2 linked regions of the Mus musculus genome follow. The protein of the gene in region 2 interacts with the protein of the main gene of each other region in a pairwise test. Links are inferred from orthologs where the notes say so. Each region holds a gene or a part of one and is shown on either strand. Other genes may lie near its edges.

What was found.
Region 1: the proteins of Exoc1 (region 2) and Golga4 interact in binary tests that used the Homo sapiens proteins (3 or more experiments, as listed by UniProt). The link is inferred for Mus musculus from reciprocal best matches to the Homo sapiens genes EXOC1 and GOLGA4.

Annotation. Positions count from the first base shown.
Region 1 is NC_000075.6:118,550,619-118,556,479, reverse strand, and holds part of Golga4 (golgin subfamily A member 4), read right to left. Parts: intron 4,649-5,861; coding exon 4,517-4,648; intron 3,046-4,516; coding exon 2,890-3,045; intron 908-2,889; coding exon 1-907. UniProt on the Homo sapiens protein: Involved in vesicular trafficking at the Golgi apparatus level. May play a role in delivery of transport vesicles containing GPI-linked proteins from the trans-Golgi network through its interaction with MACF1. Involved in endosome-to-Golgi trafficking.
Region 2 is NC_000071.6:76,526,450-76,532,892, reverse strand, and holds the start of Exoc1 (exocyst complex component 1), read right to left. Parts: upstream 3,583-6,443; 5' UTR 3,431-3,582; intron 139-3,430; 5' UTR 129-138; coding exon 5-128; intron 1-4.

The DNA of each region.
Region 1 (5,861 bases), on a different chromosome or scaffold from region 2:
TCTGTCTCTCCAGCTGCTGCACTTGAGCTCTCTGAGCATCTAATTCCTCACACACATGCTTTTTGTGTGTTTCCATCTCCACTACCTGCTTGGTAAGAAGGCTCTTCTCTGTTTCCAGGTCTAACACCTTTTGCTGCATTTGGGCCAGCTGCTCCTCATACGCACCTGCCTGCTCGCGTGCGGCGCTCTGCTCAGAGTGCAAGAGATCTAGTTTGGCCAAGGCCTGCTGGAGCTCCCCGGCAGACTTCTGAAGATGAGCTTCCAGGTCCTGCACCCGGGCCTGCCGCTCTCTCAGGTGCTCGTCCCTCTCGTCCAGCAGAGCCCCCAGCCGACTGAGCTCATCTTTCAGTGCCTTCTCAGCTCTGCGGACGGTTAGTTCTTGTTGCTCACTGATGCTGCCAACCTCACGCTGGTGGTGACGCCGCTGCTCCTCCAGCTCGGCCTCTAAAGCCTGTTTCATTTTATCTGCATCACCTCTTAGGACAGAAAGCTCCTCTGCAAGCTGGTCCCGAGCTCTCAGTGCTTCTGACAGCTCAGAAGAGACAGATTCCAGTTCCATTTGCTTCTTGTCAAGCTTCTCCAAGGTCTTTTCATTCATGTCTTGTATGTGGGCCTGGAAGAGACTCTCCTTCTCCTTCAGTAGTGCATCTTTCTCTTGCTGATACTTCTCTCTGAGCTCCTCCACAGCAGCCTGATGCTGCTGAGAGAGGCTTTGGAGTCTCTCAGTCCACAGGCTGTCCTGCTGCTGCTGGAGGCCCTCCACTTCTGTCCTATGCTGCTCAGCCAGGGCTGTGAGTTCTTTATTGTGCTTATTCTTCTCAGCTTCCAGATGAACAGCCAGATGCTCTGACTGTGTTTTGCTTTCTTGTAAACTTTTTTCCAAAGAGGTTTCCAATTCAAGAATTCTCTGTTAATGAAAATTGGGTGTATTTTACTAACAGCATACTTGTTTACTAGTGATGATAAAAGACTGCAGGGCCTATCTAAAGGCTGTTCTTTGAATGCCTCACATAGCAGACCAAACATAAGAAAAGGGCGACAATCTGCTGTGCTCAGTCACCAATGCAGTCATGAACACACTCAGCTCTGCACTTCCTCTATTTACCATCCCATAATGATCTCAGTATCTCTAGTCAAAAAATTCTAATGGGATAGTCAAAAAGAAAATAAACCACAAAACAAATAATGATAGCAAGCTTGGTAGGAAGATGGATCTCCACACTCTATGCTTTTAGGTTTATAATAGTATTTTATTACTTTTATAACAATTTTGAGGGGAAAAAAAATCTCAGTTTTCTACCCCCAAAGGCAAATACTTAAAAGCTTTTAAAATTTTATTATTCATATACACATAAGTGTATATACACATATAAGTGCATATACACATAAGTGGGGGGTGAGGAGGAGGAGGAGGAAGAAGAGGAGGAAGAGGAAGAGGAGGAAGAAGAGGATGAGGAGGAGGAAGAACAGGACATGAGGAGGAAGAGGAAGAAGAAGAGGAGAAAGAAGAAAAGGAAGAGGAGGAGGAAGAGGAGGAGGGTGCAGCTGTGGCTGCAGAGGGCAGGGAAGCAGGAAGCTGGCTCTCTTTCTGCACTGTGGTTGGGGATCAGGTTCAGATGGCCAGGACTGTACAGCAAACACATTATCCTGAGCTGTCTCATCACCAACCTGCACAGTTTTGTTTTGTTTTTCCTTAAAGAATATTCTTAACCATATTTAACCAAAGGTTGCTGTTCTCTCACAGAATATTAATTCTTCACTCTGAACAGCGTCAGACTGGAACAGTCCTAAGACACTGACAGGTCCAGCCCCTTGGTGACTGCAGAGATGCACTGCAGAGACAGCAGTGCAGATTCAGCCGCGTCAATGCCATCTCACCGCACCACGTCAGTGTCTGAACTGTCCGTAAAGGAAGAGCAAAGATGAACTTACAACTATGGGAAGTGTGACTGTTGCATGGCCTAACAAGACTGACAGATCTAAATACCGTCAGCACGTTCCTGTGGCAGGTCACACATCTCTAACAGTGACAAGAAAAGGGCAGAAAACTACATACACTTACACTATAACAAATACTTCATTCCAGGACTAGAGAAATGTCTTCAGGGACACATGCATCCCTACACACACCCCCAGCTCTGGGGACAGTCTCACAGACACACACATCCCCAGCTCTAGGGACAGTCTCACAGACACACACACACCCCAGCTCTAGGGACAGTCTCACAGACACACACACACCCCAGCTCTGGGGACAGTCTCACAGACACACACACCCCCAGCTCTGGGGACAGTCTCACAGACACACACACCCCCAGCTCTGGGGACAGTCTCACAGACACACACACCCCCAGCTCTGGGGACAGTCTCACAGACACACACATCCCCAGCTCTGGGGACAGTCTCACAGACACACACATCCCCAGCTCTAGGGACAGTCTCACAGACACACACACACCCCAGCTCTGGGGACAGTCTCACAAACACACACACCCCCAGCTCTGGGGACAGTCTCACAGACACACACACCCCCAGCTCTGGGGACAGTCTCACAGACACACACACCCCCAGCTCTGGGGACAGTCTCACAGACACACACATCCCCAGCTCTGGGGACAGTCTCACAGACACACACACCCCCAGCTCTGGGGACAGTCTCACAGACACACACACACCCAGCTCTGGGGACAGTCTCACAGACACACACACACCCAGCTCTGGGGACAGTCTCACAGACACACACACCCCCAGCTCTGGGGACAGTCTCACAGACATACACACACCCAGCTCTGGGGACAGTCTCACAGACACACACACCCCCAGCTCTGGGGACAGTCTCACAGACACACACATCCCCAGCTCTGGAGCCCACACAGCACGTGAACTTACGGTTCGGTAAGCCTCTGCTTCTTGCCCAAGTTCCTGGAGTTTATTTTCACTCTCTGTAAGGATGGCTTTTTTCTGCAGCTCTAACTCTTCTAAAGCCAAGGATTCTTGCTGCTCTTTTTCTTGGGTGAGCTTCAAATATTCTGATCGACTCTTTTCCTGTGCCAAAAACAATTGATACCACCTCAATCCCACATAAATCCCAAAGCAACACCTCATCTGCAGAACCCGGGCTCTGAGGCTTTCCAGTGTAGCCAGCTCTGAAAATTCTCCATTCTTATACAGGACAACACCCATGGCAAAGGTTACAAGCACTTTTAACATTAAACTAGCACACTAAACTGTAATTTCTAGATTATACTCTAACTTTAGGCATGTTTCTGTATACTGTTGCTTAAAAAGCAAGCATTGATGTGGTACTTAGACATACTATATATAGCATGGTGACACACAGGGCTGTACAAAATGATTTCATATTACAGGATAGACTGAAATATGAAATATTTAGATAGAATTATTCACAATCTTGATTTCAGTATTTTTAGGTATATTAATAGAAGAAATTTTCAAGTCTGCTGAATTAAGAAGCTAGAGCTCCATGTGTATGTATGCATTTATCTTTTTTTCCCTCCACTTGAAATACAGCTGAATGTGTCAATTCCCAGAAAGCACCGTGGACGCCAGTGCGTGGACACAGCAGCCCTTCCTTTACATTCCACATTGTTCTCTGATCTCCATGCAACTACTTATATTTTATGCTGAAATAAATATTCTTATAAGTACCTTAATAGTTATAATTTTGTGTTCTGTGGTTTTTTGTTTTGTTTTGTTTTTGTTTATTTGTTTTTTCCTTGCTTTGAGACAAGGTTTCTCTGTGTAGCACTGACTATCCTGGATCTCACTATATAGACCAGACTGGCCTTAAAATCAGAGATTCCCCTGCCTCTGCTGAGATCAAAGGCATGCAGCACCACCCCTGGGCAGAGTTTCCGCCACACTATTTTCCTAGCCGTGTATAAGTGTACTCTAAATCCAAGTGCCAATTTTGCTTCCAGAGATTAGAAAACGTGTTGCCTCAGGCAAGAATCAATATGGCTTGAGATGCTCAGACAACTTAGAGTCAGACCCAGGTAGCATTTCCAATCCTTTTGCATGAAACATGTTTAAAAATCATATATATTATTTTATGGATGATAATTTCATGTACTTTCTTGATAATTTCATGAAAACAACTTTGTGGTAACTCACATAAAAGGTTCTCACAAATGAGGAAAATTACCTTTTGTTTTAAATTTTCAAGTCACATCCTTTTCAGCAAAAGTCTGAATCTTTGCTTTTCTCACTATTATTTTGTTAGTTCAGTAGTTTGTTAGTTCTTTAACTCTATTTTTTAAACATCATATAAATTCCAAGTTTTGCTCTTTAAACTTCGGTTCAGAATAAATTTTGGGAAGCCAGTATGCTAGGCTCTGAGACAACTGTGCCGTCGTCATCTCACGCACAGACTGATGGACCCCTGACCTCATGTGACGAGTACTGAACTAGTGGCCCCCTTGGGTTCCTCCTGTCCTTTTATCCACCACCTCACCTGAGCAGACGGCAGCTCTGAGGTGTACTAGACAGCACTTACGAGAGCTATTCTCATCTGCTCCTGCAGCTCCCTTTCCCGGGCCTCAAGCCTCCTGCTCAGCTCCTGCTCTTTGCTGGCGAGCTCCTCTGCATGCAGCTTCTGGAGTGCAGCAACTTGTTCTTCTGAGTTCTTCTGAAAAGAACCAAAAGGTAAATGCAAACTGCCATAAAAGCCACGTAACTACAGCCAGAAGCCACACACCTCACAGCTAAGTCGCGCTGCTGACTGGCGATTAACCACACTAGCAACTTCTTAAGAGGAGACAAGAATCAGCTCCAAAGTCAGAGCAGTTAAATGAAAGCCCAAACGGTTGGCTCTTGATTAATGAAACTAAGGGCTGCGCGGGGTCCAGTGGGGCTTGAAGCTACATTTTCATAACCTGTACTAGATCCCCAGTGGTTAGGATAAGGAGAGGGGAGGGGTGGAAGACAGGAGACAGGAGACGAGGAAGGCTGCTCTCAAGACAGACCCTCACTATGGTCAGGGTGTGCCAGGCTTTCCAGGAAATCATTATTTGTTTAAGAGTTATTGGCTTTGTTCTTTCTCAGAAAGGAAAACTCAATTTTACAAAACTATCAATGTTCCCTACATAAATCTAAAAAGTTAATGTAATGAAACACAAAAAGAATGAGGGAGGCCATTGAGACTAAACTTACATGTTACAAGAGCCAAAAATTAGGGTCCACAGAGAGACAGCTCAGTGGTTAGGAATACCCCATCACCACTACCAAAACAAACAGTGGGGAAGGAGTGGCAGGCAGGGAGCAGCTCCTCAGACACAGTGACAATGCAGTGACAACACAGCCGTCCACTGTCGCAGTCAAGGTGGGGTGAGGAGGACACCTGCCAGCATCTTACATATTTACTATGTAATAGTGATAACGACATGTCAGGGGACAAAGGCTATACTATTAAATACTATTAAATTAGGGTGTGAAAGCAGTCCCCTGGCAAAAAACTAAGTTGAATTTCAAGCTTATTCCTCATACCAAATAAAGTCCAATCAGAGCAAGGGTATAACCATAAGCAAATGGATGCATCCTAGTCAAAAGGAAACAACAGGCCTAGAACAACAATAATCCATAAAGCACGGTGATTCACGACTGTAACCCTGGAATTTGGGAGGCTGACGCAGGGCAGGCACTTAGGGGCTGGCTTAGCCTACATGGTGAATCCCTCCTCAAACCCCAAATAAAAACACATAAAGGACAAAAGAAAAACCAGTGTCTCAGAATTGGGCATGTATGTGTTTTAGTTTTTGTAATAGCTGGGACTGAGCCCAGTCTTGCAAACACTAGGAGTGTGCCCTGGCACGAGCTTACAGCCACAGTCCCACAGGTGTGCT
Region 2 (6,443 bases):
CTACCTGTGGCACACAGAAAACAGTTCTTCTTCTTCTTGCCAGCTTTGCAGACATTCACGATGCTCAGCAGGCGTTCATCATTTGGTGTGAAGATATCTCTCTGCAGCGCATGCTTGATTGCTGTCATCTTTTCTCAGCTGAAAAACATTTAGAATAATTCTCAAAACCACTGCCCTCCCTCATAAAGTGTTCCATTTATGACTTGAACGATACATTCTTAATACATAAATATATTAATCATCTACAACATAAAAGCATGGGGCTTCAAGTTTGGAAATAAAATCAGAGAAACCAGTATATATATATATACACACACACACACACACACACACACAAGATACTACCCATATATACAAATATGCAAGCACACACACACAAGTACAAATAACCAATAAATATACTAAAAATTATTCATTACAGAGCTGAGGAAACAGCTCTGTTGGTAAAGTGTTTCCTAGTACGTGGAGGACACAAGTCCAATCTTGTTTAATTTCTAGAGCTCACATAGCAAGCAGTGGGGAAGCAGAGACAGGCAGATCCCTGGAGTTCACTGACCAGACAGCTTCACCCATTGGTGGAATGCCAATCTGGTGAGACACCATGTCCAAGAAAAGGGGTATGAATGGTACACTGAAGAACACCATGTGCAGTTGCCCTTGGGTTTTTGCAAAGATGCATACCAGAAACCCCAAATATTCCATACCATTATCCACCTGGGAAATGCGACTGAAATCCACAGTGAGATAGCTACTGCTTTCAACTGTTGGGAGAGCTAAAATCCCAATGGACACACAGCAGCACTGATGAAGGAAACTCCCACACAGCTGGGAGGATCACAAATGGTTCGGAGGCTTTAGAAAACAGTCCGGCACTTTCTTCTACAAGTCAAGCATGCAACTACCATTATGAGCCAGCCCCCATCATACACTAACTTTAAAAATGCCCTTCAGCTAGATCTTTTTGGAGGCATCTTCTCAACTGAGGTTCCCTTTCAGATGACTCTAGCTTGTGCCACAATGACCTAAAACTAGCCAGCACGCCTGTATTACTCAGGGGTTCTCTTCCTGCACAAACATCAGACAAAGAAGCAAGTTGGGGAGGAAAGGGTTTATTCAGCTTATACTTCCAAATTGCTGTTGATCACGAAAGGAAGTCAGGACTGGAACTCAAGCAAGTCCGGAAGCAGGAGCTGATGCAGAGGCCATGGAGGGATGTTACTTACTGGCTTGCTTAGCTTACCTTCTTATAGAACCCAAGACTACCAGCCCAGGGATGGCACCACCCACAATGGGCCCTCCCATCCTTGATCACTAATTGAGAAAATGCCTTACAGCTGGATCTCACGGAGGCATTTCCCCAACTGAAGCTCCTTTCTCTGTGATAACTCCAGCCTGTGTCAAGATGACACCCAAACCCAGCCAGTACAATGCCCCTTAATATGTCCTAGGGCCCGGATGTGACATTAAAGCTCTACTCCATCTTACGCTATGGAAACTGTCTCTGGGCTTTGTTCACTGTTTCCCTTTTTCTCAAATTCTTGTCACTGCAAATTCCAACTTGCCCTCAAGGATTCTGATAACACACTGCCTCTTCTTTGAAGCCTTCTCTCCTAGAAAAACTCCTCTTCTGTCCCCATCTTACCTCTGCTGACTACAGCTCTTCCAACCTGTGTTTTATAGCTAGCGCCGTCTAGCCTCTACTACTCCGAAAAGTAGTTCTCTGTTGGCAAGAACCTTATCTTATCCATCTTTATATTCCTAGCATTTGCCGAGAGGCACACAGTGCACACTCAGTAAACATTTTAGGGAATACTGTCCCACTCAATAACAGACCAGGGATCGCTCCCTCAGAGTTACCTCTTTCCAACTTTCGCATCTGTAAGAGAATACCCAGATTCAAACTCTACTGTAATTGATTGCTTCCTCCATGCCAACGTGAAATCTGTGAGCATATCCTGTAACTTCTTCATCTACATATCCTATCCCTCTCCCCCACAACTTGCTGCCAACACAGCCACCAAGACTTACTGCCTTTAAGTAATAGCACCCGTTATCTCTTTCTTTTTTCTTTAGGCTTCTACAAGTTCCCTGAAAAACTAGTAAATAACTTTAAAGCAGTTCTCATTCTACCACACACCTGGTCAACAGCAACCCAGCTTTCTCAAGACATGCCTTGCACTCAGAACACTCTGTTCTTTCTTTGCTTAAGCACTTTCCCATGCAGGGCATACCACTATCTTTTCCTTATTCAAACCTACATTTCTCCATTTGTATTTAGTTGACTCAATGAAAGTCTCAATCCACACGGCTCTTTTCATGTAAATGTATAGAGCCCTTACTGTATTTACGAGGCAAATGCTTGCTATCTAATGGGGACATGAGTGTCATCTCCTAGATCTCCACAGCCATCTCTTGAGTAGTAGGAGGAGGAGGGGTGCTCTATCACAGGTTTGTGTGTTGGGTACTCACTAACAAGCTCTTGGCGTAACCTGCTTGATTGCAATAGTAAAAGCTGGCCAAAAGAACCATTAGCAATGGCCAATATTCACCATAGTACATGGTAAACGGTAAAAACAGCAGAGGGCTGGTCATAACTCATGAAGGAATTAGACATAAGCATTGCTACTATATTGCTATATTATATTGCTAATATAAATATTGCTATTCACTAAGTGCCAGGCAGCACTCTGGGGTATAATGGAGAATCTTTAAGACATGAACGGGTTGACGTAGCATTGTGATAGTCAGTCTTCTTTGGATCTAGAGATGAATTCTCCAGTGTTTATACTGAACTTTACATTATGCCAGTATTATTAATAGTGGCCTTCACAACTATTTCCCAGGTCTAAAAACCACGCCCATATTCTGGGTTCTCTTTAGATCTTCGCCTTCTAAAACCTCAAGGCTGCCCGTTACAGAGGCAGCTAACCTCGGTTCATTGTGTACATACATACTTCCTTCAGCTTAATAGGGCCATCGTTACACTGTGTGTCCATGCTAGTGCCTTAGTGGGTTGGGCCCATGTACTGCAGTGACATCTCAACTCGGAGACATGTCATCCAGAAAAAAAAACTGTTCAGAGGCTGGGCAATGCACTTAGAAGATTTATAAGGACATGTTATATTGATTCGGACCAGCAGAAGCCCAGGTCACGTCTTTCTCTTCCAGGCCACGCTAGTAGGACAAAAATGAAATCTGTCCCGGATGGGCGGAACTGTGGACAGAGACTTGGCTGCCTCCCGGCTCCGCCTTTTCCCAGAGCCCCGGACAGCACCGGCTAAGGAAGGACGCAGCCCGGGTTCTGCAGCCCCGAAGTGGAGCAGGGTGGGTGGGCCGGGTCACTGGGGAGTGGCCGACCCGGCGCGGATGCAACACTGCCTCCACTTAGGCTACCACCTCCAAGACCGCAGGTCCCCGGCCGGAAGCTTACCGCGAGGCCAGCCGGCCGGCCGAGGTTGGTGCTCCAAGACGGACTCAGGAAGGGCGCCGGCAGCAATAGCAGCTTTGAAGCACTTTTCATTGAACAGGGAAAAGCAGCGGCCAGAACCCGCCACTTCCCGTATCCGGTCACGTGTCTCTCTGCACCGGAAGTTGACCCTGTGGAGCCGGAAATGGAGACAGTAGAGGAAAAACAGATTGGCCAATGGACTTGGAGGAGGCGGAACAGCGCTTTGATGGATGGGGCAGAGGCGGACTGTGGGCGTGGAAAAGACAGGGGCGGGGCTTGCAAGCACATAGGCCAGTGATTCTCAACCTGCGGGTCAAACGACCCCTTCCTTCATAGTGGTCATATAGCAGATATCCAATATATCAGATATTTGCATTACAATTGATAACAGTAGCAAAATTACAGTTTTAAAGTAGAAATTAAATAATTTAATAGTTGGGACCCACTGCAACATGAGGAAAGGTATTAAAAGGTTGCAGCATTAGGAATGTTGAGAACTGTTAGCATAGGCTGATTTGAGGAGTTGATAATGGTGATGTTTCCTTTTTGTAGACGTACCCATTCTAATATTTGTAGCAACTCATTTGAGAGCGCATTAAATGTTCTCTCCTGTGCATATGTAAAACCCTGCTAACTAGATTCTTGGAAGAACTTTAGTGAGTTAAGTCAGATTCTCTGGGATAGATGTCACTAGTACCCTTAAGTTCTGGACACTTAATTCCCATAAACAGCTTTGGTCATTTACCCACTTCATACTCTACCCTGACTGCACAGACCTTCTTCTTGGGTGTTTTTTTAGAAACTTCACCCATGCCACCTCACATCAGATACTGAAATAGAATCTTTGTTTTAAAGGTGATGCTTGCTTGTTTCAGTGTGAGAAACATAAATGATGCCGAGAGTTCGAGCTATAAGACAAGTGATTCATTTAGGCCGCATCCCTGGCAGGGATTGAGTGCTGCAAATTTTGATTTCCAGGTTAAAAAATAAAAATTAAAAAAAGCCATTCAATTTTTTTATACTGAAGGAGTTCGCAATGAGGTAGGACTAGAAAAGGTGATTGCGAAGTTAGGATAACATACTCTACCAGGATGGTTTTCTTTCTTCTTTTTTTCTTTGCTGTTTTTTTTCCATTTATTTATTTACTTTGCATGTGGATCTTAGCCTACCCCTCCTTCCAATTCTCACCCTCCTTCCCAGCCTCTCCCTCATTCTCTGCTTCCCTTCTCTTCTGAGAAGGGGTGGGGTGGAGACCTTCTTGGATACCAACCCACCCTGTGACATCAAGTCACTGCAGGACTAGGCACATAGGATGAATTTTTTGTTGTTGTTGTTGTTTTGTTTTTCGAGACAGGGTTTCTCTGTGTAGCCCTGGCTGTCCTGGAGCTCACTTTGTAGACCAAGCTGGCCTCGAACTCAGAAATCCACCTGCCTCTTCCTCCCAAGTGCTGGGATTAAAGGTGTGCACCACCACCGCTCGGCATGAATTTCTTAAGAATATGACAGATGAGCTGTGCACAGTATTTGCACCGTTTATCTTAAGATAAAATTTTGGGAGACCTAGGAGAAATAATGAATAGGGACATGTTTGTTGCTACAATGATCAGCTTCTAGTCGGGGTTACTTGAGATGACTCTCACAGGATCTAGTTCTATATATTTGGATAGACTTCCCTGGTGTTTCCTCCTGAGCTCCAGAATGTTTGCCTTGGACATCTTAGCTGACAATTCCATTTGGGTGTTTTTGTTGTCATTTGGTCTTCCATTTTGTTCTTCCCCCCAACCCCCTGTACCTATGTTACAGCTCTCCTCACAGTTGAGAAGTGAGTGGTATTCCAGAAGGCTAGACTCTTCTGAACTCCTGAACTCCAGATTTTTGTATCCACTTCTCTGCCTCTGATATTTCTGTTTGGATAACTGAACAGCAATAATAATAATGATTATATAATATTTATATTAAATTATATTATATCTATACTCATCTGCTCATGCCCTCAGTTGGGTTTTAAATCTCTACACACATCACTTCAAAATGATGCCCAGACATGATGGCGATGGGCTAAACCTCTCAACCTGTAAGCAAGTTCCAGCTAAATGTCTTCCTTTATGAGAGTTGCTGTGGTCACGGTGTCTCTTCCCAGCAATGGGACACTGAGTGATCCAGGAGTGTCCGTGGATTCTGTAGTTCTGCCTTCAGCCTGAGGGTGCTGAGAAAGGATTTGTAGATTGGAGTAATGATGATTGGTGATGCTATAGTGTTGATGATTGTGGATATTGGCTGAATTAATGAGAGATAAAAACATCTTACTTCAGGCCACTTCTTCCTTTATATAAAATTGAATAATAAAGTGTGTTGATACAAGCTCTGCTGAAAGGAAAGATTCCCTGGGTATACTGAGTATTCCTAAGAGCTATCCCCAAGTGAGAGTGACATGCACTAGGAATTCAATGTTACTGACCAGTTAGTGTGATGTGTCAACCTATCTATGAGGCAGATCAAATCCTTCATTATGTATTTGGTAGACATAAAGAACTCCTATGTGGCTAGGGAAGTGAGTTGCAGAAGAGATACCAAAATGATGTCTTGAAAGTAAATGATGGGGGGGGAGTCTGAACTATCCATTCTTGAAATTATGTGTGTTTCCTGAACCTGGTCGACTTTTCTATTCCATTTTCATACTTCAACAGGTTGTTTCTAAAACTGCACCGGGGAACTGGTGGAACTAATAATATATCCACCTCATGAGAGATGACCCTTGTTTTCCCAGTAGAGAATTGTTCCCTGCTTCAGAAAGCATGTCTTGCAGAGCAGTGAGGACCTGTGTGACAACTCTTACTGTGGTTTTCTGGAGATTTCACAAGGTGCTTCTAGCCATCATAGATCCCAAGCCTTCAGATCTGTTGGGGCAAAAGGTTGGGTAGTAGGGCAACTTGTATGAGATCCCTTCTGGGCAACATACTTTGCATTAAGTTCATTCTGTCATTATTCTGGGAAA